Canis lupus familiaris: one gene and its partner. The protein of the gene in region 2 interacts with the protein of the main gene of each other region in a biochemical or structural test. Links are inferred from orthologs where the notes say so. Each region holds a gene or a part of one and is shown on either strand. Other genes may lie near its edges.

Region 1 (4,407 bases), on a different chromosome or scaffold from region 2:
TTTGTTGTTGAGTGGAAAAGGTTCCTTACGGTATTCTGGATCCGAGATCTTCTCGGATATGTGATTTGCAGATAGTCTTCTCCCAGTCTATAGGCTGCTGTCTTTTCACTTTCCGGATGGTTCCCTTTGGTGCCCCCGAAAGTTTTATTTATTTTTTTTTATTTATTAGAGAGAGACAGAGACAGAGAGACAGAGGGAGAAGCAGGGTCCACGCAAGGAGCCTGATGTAGGACTCAATCCCGGGTCTCCAGGATCACGCCCTGGGCTGAAGGCAGCACTAAACCACTGAGCCACCGGGGCTGCCCAAAGTTTTATTTTTTATTAATTTTTTTAAAGATTTTATTTATATATTCATGAGAGACACAGAGAGAGACAGAGAGAGGCAGAGACACAGGCAGAGGGAGAAGCAGGCTCCCTTTGGGGAGCCCGATGTGGGACTCGATCCCGGGACCCCAGGGTCACGCCCTGAGCCAAAGGCAGGTGCTCAACCAGAGACACCCAGGCGTCCCAACCCCAAAAGTTTTAATTTTGATGAAGCTCATTGATCTGTTTTTCTTTTGTTGCCTGTGCTTTTGGCATCATGTTTAAGGAGCCATATGTTAGTTTTGGGGGTGTGTGAAGCAGGGGTCATCCTTTTGCAAGTGGATACCCGGTTGTCCCAGCACCATCTGCTGGAGAGACTTTTCTTTTCCCCAGGGGGTCAGTTTTGCTTTCCCACAGTCCCCTCCTTTCCCCTGTGCCCCATAGACTCAGAGGCAGTGAAGAAGGCAGCCTTGGAGATGAGGGAGGAGGAGCTCGTGAGCGAGCGCACGGAGGCCTTCACCATTGCCCGCAACCTCCTCACAGCTGCTGCGGATGCCATCGAGCGGATCATGTCATCCTACAAGGAGGTACCCCCCAGCCCAGCACCGCCCCCTGCCATGCCTCCCACCGCTCCCCCAGCTGGCAGTGTCTGAGCCAGGTCACCATCCCCGCAGGTGACAGAGCTGGCCGGCTACACAGCCCGAGTACACGAGATGTTCCAGGTATTTGAAGATGTCCAGCACTGCCGTTTCAAGAGGCCCGGGGAGCTGGAGGACACTCAGGCAGGGCCCGGGGCTGTGGCGAGGTCTGGTGTCCACGTAGAGGGGCCCCTGCAGATCCGAGGTAAGGGCGCGCTCCCCACGGACACCCCCACCCGGAGGGCAGGATCTTTGAGCTGTGTCCCAGGGAGGGCTTCCGGGGCCTGCCGTGACCCCCGTCACCTTCTTTCCCCGAGTGGTAGCTGCTAGTCATCCCTCTCACTTGCCAGCTCCTTCCCGGTGCTCTGGCCAGAGATTTCTCTTGTTTCTCTTCGCAAAAGAGGGAGATGCAGTCCCTGAGTAGAAGGGATCACTCTCCCATGTGGGCAGCAAGCGAAAGTTCGAGACTACAGCAGGGGCCGGGTACTGTGGAAGAGGGGCCCAAACGTCAAAGCTGCCATTAAAATAGTGCCAGGAGCAGAGGGTTTTACAGAGCAAAGGTGGACTCCGTGCCTCAGGTTCCAGAAGCCAGAGAAGTGACATTGCCCCTCCCCTGTCCAGAGGAGAGCACCACATGCTGGTTGGGGGCAGGCTTCCGGAAGACCCATATTCCCAAGGGTCCCCGGACCACACACTGGCATGCCGTTAGCGGTGGAGTGGCACGTGGAACCCACCAGAAGGCAGAGGGAGTGCTGCTGCTCCCTCTATTCCTTCATTGCGTTCTCTCTCCAGGCCAAGTGGTAGATGTGGAACAGGGAATTATCTGTGAGAACATCCCCATCATCACGCCCACGGGAGAGGTGGTGGTGGCCAGCCTCAATATCAGGGTAGGTCAAGTGGGGGACGGGGTGGGGGGTCGCCTGACCCAGGAGTGCTGGCCTGGCTGGGCTCAGCTATGGGGCCCTGGGCCTAACCTTCTGTAGCTGCAAGCCCCAACCCTCGGTGTCTGGCTTATTGGGCCTGGATGTGTTGTCATTACCCAGATCTACTTGGCTAGTGGGCTAAGGTCAAGGTGAGATGCCAACGTGTCTCTGACTGTTGATTCTATCGCAGCAGAGTCATAAAAGTGACTAGCGACTACTAGGAGGAGCCAAGGGGCACCCAGGGGCTCCTGGCCCTGGCCCTATGTTGCCATCCCCCCCCCCCCGCCCCCATCCCCGAGAAGCCCAGGACTTGGGCGCTCTGCTTCAACTGTAACTATGGTGAAATAGATTCCTCCAGTGACCTGGGCTTAGGGTCCCCTCCGTCTGCTTTAAGGAGCCTCCAGCGTGGGTGTGTGCTGGGTACAGCCTGGCCCGGCGGGAGGGCTCCCAGCCACTGCAGAGGCTGTCTGCAGAAAGGAAGCCCCGGAGGCCAACACCCACCAGTCTCCGGCGTCCCTAGTTGAAGCTTCCGACACGGTCGGGGCCTGATAGAAGGAGAGGCCTGGGGTTGGGGCGGTCCGTGTAAGCAGTGAGAGGGAATCGTTCCTTCCTTCCTGGGCTGGGCACTGGGAAGCAGACGTAAGTTGGACGGGCACTGCCTTCAGGGAGGCCCCACGCCGGGTCCCCTAAAGTAGTGCCAAGGTCCCAGTGAGCTGCGCGGGATCCCGTGGGGGCCGCGGGAAGGATGGTCCTATCCCCGAGGTGAGCAGAGGTCACAGGAAGCTGCACGGGGGCTCGGGGAGGTGGGCAGCATGAGGAAGAAGGCCTCCCCCAGAGGCAGGCAGTGGTGGCAGGAGCGGGGAGCCGAGGGGCCGCAGCTGGGTGGCCTGGAGCCGGGGCCCGGCGGGGAGGACCTGGGGAGAGGCGAGTGGAGGGTCAGCGGCTGCTGGGGCCAGTGGGGGCTCCTTGCCCTGGTCTGCCGAGAGGGGCCCCGAGAGCCGCTTGGAGGCTGGGCACGTTCCGTTACCCTGAGCGGCACAGGACGGTGGCGTGATCCCCGTCGCCCCTGGCCGTGCTCACTCTTGGGGTGTGACAGGGAGCCACCAATGGCTGGTTTATCCAAGGCAAACGATTTCCCTGCAGGCCCAGCGGCAGCCAAGTAGGCAAAGACCAGGGGCCCTGGCTCTCCAGGGTGCAGCTGGTTAGGGAGCAAGGCCAGGTGAGGAGGGGTGTCTGGACGGAGGAGCCGGGGTGCGGGGCGAGGCGGAAGCTGGGCTCGGGGGCTGGGAGATGCCGGGAACAGACGGGAGCAGTTCCCGGTCATGATGGGCCAGGCCGTGGGGCAGGTCGGCGGAGGAGGGAGAGGCCCGGGGAAGAGGACCAGGGAGGCCGCCGGGGCGCCACGGTGGGGGGGGAGCCAGGCCTGAGGCACTGGCCCTTGCGCATCCACCATGGAGGAGGGGGGCCCAGCACCCCCCCCCGCCCCAGGGCATTTATAATTTGACAAAGGATCACAAAGTGATGGGCTCGGACAGCAGAAGCGCTTCGCTCCCAGTCTGCTCCCGGCCGCTCCCAGTCCGGGTGCCATACTGGCCATCAGTGGTGTTCCCAGAAGCCTCACCTTGGTCTCGGCCTCCTCGTCACGTGGCCTGCTCCCCGTGTGCACGTCTCCGTGTCCAAAAGTCCCCTTTTGCTAAGGACACCGGTGACAGCGGATGAGGGGCCCACCCCACTCCAGGATGAGCTCATCTAAATTTAACTGACTGCATTTGCAAGGACTCTTTTTCCGAATAAGGTCACGTTCTGAGGTCTCGGGGGTTAGGACCATAACACACGCGTCTGGGGGCGATCCCGCTCAATCCACAACACTGCCACTCGGACCTGGCGAGGGGGGGAGCTGTGGCCTCAGTGCCCTGCCGCCTGACCCCTTCCTTCCTGCACACTCCGCCCAAGCTCGGCTGGCCTTTCTCCTACGGGAGGCATCTCCCTAAGGCCAGTGGGCACCGTGTAGTGGGCTAACTGGAGAGCCCGAGGCCCTTCACGCTGAGCGCAGGGGTCACAGCGGCCTCCGGCCAGCGCCCTAGCACCCGCGGGGGCAGTGAGAGGCCCAGGGGGAAGGGGGACTAGCCAGGCATTAGGAACAGAGTGGGGGGTTATCACTGTCCACCCAGAACTCGAAAGAAAGCCCCTGGCCCGGGCCCGGGCCTCCCGGGAGAGCAAGTCTGCCTGGGAAGCCAAGACACTGGGAGTCCTGGTGAGCTGGGACGGCGGGCAAGAGGGTGCCGCTGACCTCCTGGGGCCTTCCTCACGCTGGCCCCCTGCTCTCTGGTGCATGGCAGGGGCTTAGGGATCAGGCCCGGACCCCAAACAGGCGTCTGGCTAGGGCTCTGGCTGCCACACCTCATCCTTCATGCCCTGCTGTCCGACACCAAGACCCCGAGAATGGCCTGCCTACCAGCCTGGGCACGGCCCCGGATGGGGGCCCCGGGGGAGGGGACGGAGGCCCGTGCAGCCCCCTCCCCCCCCGCCAGGTACCAGCACCG
Region 2 (5,124 bases):
GATGAGGTTTTAGGAGTATCCCTAGTGAGAGAAAAGCAGAGCAAGTTTAAGAAATGAGGCAAAGGAAGAATCGTGCTTGTTTTCAACTTCATGTTCTCATTTATTTCTGGTATTTTGCTTATTAACATGCTAATGTTACCACATTAATGTGAAACCAATAGAAATACCTGTAACATGATTGATGTAACTATAGTCACATTCGAAAGACACATGTAAGTGGTTTGGAGTTGAAGGAAGGAAGCCTGGGATAGATTCTGCAGGTGTTGGGGAGAAAGGGGTTAATCAGAGGGATCCCTTATGGAAATTTAGAATTGAAAAGAACTTTAACGTTATGTAGTTGCCATCTGAGGTCTTGAGTGGTGAAGGGTTTTGAACAAAAGCAGTTGGTTACAGAATTGGGACTGGGACTTAGCTCAGCTGACTTTGGGTTCAGGATGTTTTGTCCTCAGTCACAGCCCTTGGGGCGGAACAATACAGCGCGTGTTGCACAGGTGTGATTTAGGAGTCTGGGGGATCCCTGGGGGGCTCAGCGGTTCAGCACCGCCTTAGGCCCAGGGCCTGATCCTGGAGACCCAGAACGAGTCCCAGATCTCACGTCAGGCTCCCTGCAGGGAGCCTGCCTCTCTCTCTCATGAAATAATTAAAAAAAAAAAAAGTCTGCGCCCTGTCTGGGAAGCAGAGAGTACCTAAGCTGGTGCTCGACACACATTCCAGCGTGTTCTCGGGAAGCCAAGGACGAAAGCCGCCAAGGGACTTCATTTAGATGTGATTTCCCCATTTTACGCCCCGCAGCACTCGACGGTTCTCCGAAGCCGTGGACCTGGCACCACACCTCCGTGTGCCGGTCCGGGCCGCCTCCAGCCTCATCCCCGAGCAGCGGTCCCCACCCCCCTACGTCCGCGGAGCCCAGCACGGGGTCCCAAAGGCAATGGATGCCCCCAAAGTGCTAACGCAGGCCTCCGTCTGAGGCAGGGGCGCCCTGTGTCGGCAGGGAAGGCAGGTGTCCGCCTGCGTCCACGCGAGCGCCCCAGCATCCCTGGGTTGGGCGCTGGGTTCTGAGCAAAGGAGATGGTTCGGGGGAGGCCGGGGCGCCGCTGCGGGGTCTGCGGGGTCCCCGGCTCGGTCCAGGCGCGCACACTGGCTTTTCCTGCCGGGGCTGCCTCCGCCGGCGCCGGCTTCCCAGTTGCCGGGCCTGGATCGTCCGGTCCCGCCCCGCCCCGCCGCTGGGGAACGGGGGGGGGGGAGGGGGCGCCCCGCCGGGGTCCGGGCAGGTGCAGGGCGGGGTGCAGGGCGCCAGGGCCCCGCAGTGAGCGAGTCCCGGCCCGCGTGGTGGTTGAATTCGGGGCGGGGCGGGGCGGCGGCGGGGAGCCGGGCAGGCCGCGGGGGAAAGCGGCCCGAACGCCGGGTGCCCTGGGCGAGACGAGGAAACGGCTGCTTCCCGGAGAGTGCCAGAGGCGGCGGTAAAGGGAGCCGGGCTGCTAAGTGACCCATGCCGTTAGTTCAACGGTTCCCGGCCAGAAAGGAGGAGAAGGGGGAGAAAAAAAAAAAAAAAAAAAAAAAACCCACACCGAAAACAAAAACACAAGCCCACGAAGCTTCCTGTCCCTTTAAAGATGGCGGCTCCGCACCGGCCCGCTCTGCTATTGGCTGCCCGAGGGGGCGGGGCGGGGCGAGGGGCGGGGCGAGGGGCGGGCCGAGCGCCGCGGAGCCCCGCCCCCTACGGCAAGCCGGACAGAGCAAGATGGCCGCCGCCGAGGAGGGCTGTGCTGCCGGTGCCGACGCGGACCGGGAACTGGAAGAGCTCCTGGAAAGTAAGAGCTCGTGGGACGAGAGGCCCGACGCGGGCGGTCGTGAGGGCTCGCTCCGGGGCAAAGCGAGCCCCGAGGTCCTGGGGGCGGGGGAGGCTCCCGCAGGGTTGGCGGGGGCGGCGGGTCTCCTTGCGACCCCGGAGCGAGCCCCTGGGCCGCGCGGGCCGCGGTCTCCGTCCTCGGCGGCGGGTCAGACCGGCGGTGCCCGGGCCGCAGGGGGAGCGGCAGCGCGCGGGACGGCCCGACCCCAGCCCGCCTTGGCCTCGCCGCGCAGGTGCCGGGACCGAACTTCCCGCCGGCAGCGGCTTTCGGCGCCTGGGGTCGGCGGCCGCCGCTCACCTGCCCTTCGCCACGTCAGAGCCGCCCCCGCGCCCCCACTCAGGCCGCATGTTCTTTCCTGCCCGCCCCGGCCCTCCCGTCCTCGGGTGGTTGCTTGCCCACAAGGGCCCGTGTCGTGCCCGCCACCCCTCCTCCTCCCCTCCTCCCCCAGCCTGGCAGGCGGGATGGCGGTGAGGACTCAGGTGTTCAGGGCAGAGGTGAACACGTTCTGTCTCCTGCCCAGTCACAGAGACGTGGGCAGACAGAAGGACGGTCAGACACGGTGAGGAGCGCCAGGTGGCCCTGTGCATTGGCACATTCTCTGCAGGGGCGAGCCGGCTGCGGGGAACTCCGGGAGCTCCGCCCCCCTCCCCGGCAGGGCTGAGGCAGGGCTGAGTCGGAGGGTAAGAGGAGAGACCTCAGTGCCCTCCGGGGAGTCCGGTGTGCTAGCCCTCAAGTCTGTGCCACACCAGGACCCAGGGGACGCCGGGTGGAACATCATGTGGCTGCCGCTTCCTTGCCAAAAATCATTCTCTGAAGGTCTCCAGAGTGAGTCCAGGGGTTGAGGGACATGTGTGCTCTCTGCCCTTAGACGTTTATATGGGATTTCTGGGAAATCGTTACAGTGTGGCAAGGAGGCCTCTGTGTAGTGGGAGATGCGTTTGCACAACTCTTAATTCTCTCCTCCCGGCTCTGGGAGAGATGCCTCCTCTTCCACCCTAAGGGATTCCTTTTACCGTTGATCACCATAAATTGGGTGGGTAGATGAGGAGGGAGGTGGGGAAGCTGATTGAAGGGTGGGCCAGGAGAGGGAGACTCAAAAAAAAAATTTTTTTTTTAGGAAGGTTGGCACATTGATTGTTCTCCTAATGCTTTGCCCAGAACGCGCCCCCCCCCCCCCCCCCCGCACCGCAGCCTTGCATCCTCATCCACCCCCCAACACACACACTGTGTCTCTTGTCTCTGAAGGTGCTCTTGATGATTTCGATAAGGCCAAACCCTCCCCAGCACCCCCTCCTACCACCACGGCCCCTGATGCTTCAGGGGCCCAGAAGAGATCGCCAGGAGACACTGCCAAAGTATAAATTCCACCCTTTTAAGGGATGGGAGGGGATGGGCGTGCATCTCTGAGCAGACGTGGGGCAGGCCCCTGTGGGTTGGAGAGGATGGGGGGAGGAGGCCTCGGCCTTAGAGTGCTGAGCGCTCTTGCAGGCCTTAGTCCTGGTAAACAGGGACTTTCCATGATGGAGAGGTGGGTTCTCAAGGCAGTTCTTTGAAAAAAAAAAAGAGTAGGTTTACATGATTGTTTTGGGAATGCCATCCTATATATACCCTTTCCTCAGTGGCCAGATGCCTTTTTTACTGTTCTCCTTAAGAGAGGTAGTTAGAATGTCCAGTGGAGGCGGGCAGGAGGGAAGCACTGCATTTCTCAGAGCCACTGCCTGTGGCTTGTGTCAGAGGGGTGCCAAATAAGAGATGCATTTTGGCCACCCCTTCCCTGCAGGATGCCCTCTTCGCCTCCCAAGAGAAGTTTTTCCAGGAACTGTTCGACAGCGAGCTGGCTTCCCAAGCCACTGCAGAGTTCGAGAAGGCAATGAAGGAGTTGGCTGAGGAAGAGCCCCACCTGGTGGAGCAGTTCCAGAAGCTCTCAGAGGCTGCAGGGAGAGTGGGTGAGAAGGCAGCCCAGAGGGCTGGAACTCTGTGAACCAAGTCCTGACATCTGTGTTGCCTGAGAACACTAGGTCTCTTAGTAAAGCTGATAGCACTCATCATATCACTGCTTGTGGGGAGGGGCCGGGAGGTGGGAAGAGGGATGGGAACATGGTATGATGAAAGGGAGGAGGCTGAAAAGACATTGAAAAGATGACTGAAGACTGACCATTTTAAAGGTCGTAGTGTTGTGGGTGTCATCGTGGAGAATAAACTGACATGCGCAGTTCATGTAGCTTCATGAAAATGACTAGGAACCACAGAGGATTCAAGAGATTGGTGTGCTAGTGATCCACTAGTAAATGTTCTATATCTATGTCTACTATATAGAAGATCTCTATATCTTCTATATCTATATATCTATAGATATATCTATATCTACTTGATAACCAAGTCAGTCTGGGTAAGCAGACAGTTAAAATCTAAAATGGCTTTTTATTTTAAGATTATTTATTTATTCATGAGAGAGAGAGAGACAGAGACACAGGCAGAGGGAGAAGCAGGCTCCCTGCAGAGAGCCCGACGTGGGACTCGATCCCAGGACCCCGGGGTCACGCCCTGAACCAAAGGCAGATGCTCAACCGCTGAGCCACCAGGTGTCCCCTAATATGGCTTTCTTGATCTTTCTTAGGCAGTGATGCGACATCCCAACAAGAATTTACGTCTTGCCTGAAGGAGACACTAAGTGGACTTGCCAAAAATGCTACTGATCTTCAGGTGAGGGAAAGGGGTGGGGTCCACGAGGGACCCCTCAGGCATATCAGCAGCAGAGTCTCAAAAGACAGACTTTGTTGGGTAGCATCTAAAGTCTGTTCCTGCCACACTGTTTTGTTGCAAGTGTAAATCGTTTTCTCCCACCTGAAAGGGTGGTAAGCATCTCAAGAAGGCAATATACAGATCTTCCTCAACTTATAATGGGGCTACAGCCTGATAAATCCATCATAGGCTGGAAATAACATAAGTTGAAAATGCATTTAATACACCTACCCTACTGAACGTGACAGCTTAGCCTCGTCTACCTTAAACACTACAGAACACTTACACAAGCCTAGAGTTGGGCAGAATCATCCACCACAAAGCCTATTTTCTAATAAAGTATTGAATATCTCATGTAATTTATTGAATGCTGTGCTGAATATGAAAAACAGAACGGTTGTAAGCAGATAGAATGGCTGTTAGTGCATCGGTTGTTGACCCCGGTGATCACGTGGTGGCCTGGGAGTCACAGCTGCTGCCCAGCATCACAGGAGAGTATCATCTGTGTTTCGCTAGCCTGGGAAAAGATCCA

What was found.
Region 1: the proteins of PEX19 (region 2) and ABCD1 form a complex in vitro, tested with the Homo sapiens proteins (3 studies listed by BioGRID and IntAct, with this or other methods). The link is inferred for Canis lupus familiaris from reciprocal best matches to the Homo sapiens genes PEX19 and ABCD1.

The regions. Positions count from the first base shown.
Region 1 is NC_049260.1:122,743,114-122,747,520, forward strand, and holds part of ABCD1 (ATP-binding cassette sub-family D member 1), read left to right. Parts: intron 1-747; coding exon 748-890; intron 891-977; coding exon 978-1,146; intron 1,147-1,733; coding exon 1,734-1,828; intron 1,829-4,407. UniProt on the Homo sapiens protein: ATP-dependent transporter of the ATP-binding cassette (ABC) family involved in the transport of very long chain fatty acid (VLCFA)-CoA from the cytosol to the peroxisome lumen.
Region 2 is NC_049259.1:22,764,639-22,769,762, forward strand, and holds the start of PEX19 (peroxisomal biogenesis factor 19), read left to right. Parts: upstream 1-1,685; 5' UTR 1,686-1,741; coding exon 1,742-1,811; intron 1,812-2,370; exon of another isoform or gene 2,371-2,626; coding exon of another isoform or gene 2,627-2,675; intron 2,676-3,095; coding exon 3,096-3,205; intron 3,206-3,630; coding exon 3,631-3,796; intron 3,797-4,467; coding exon 4,468-4,553; intron 4,554-5,124. UniProt on the Homo sapiens protein: Necessary for early peroxisomal biogenesis. Acts both as a cytosolic chaperone and as an import receptor for peroxisomal membrane proteins (PMPs).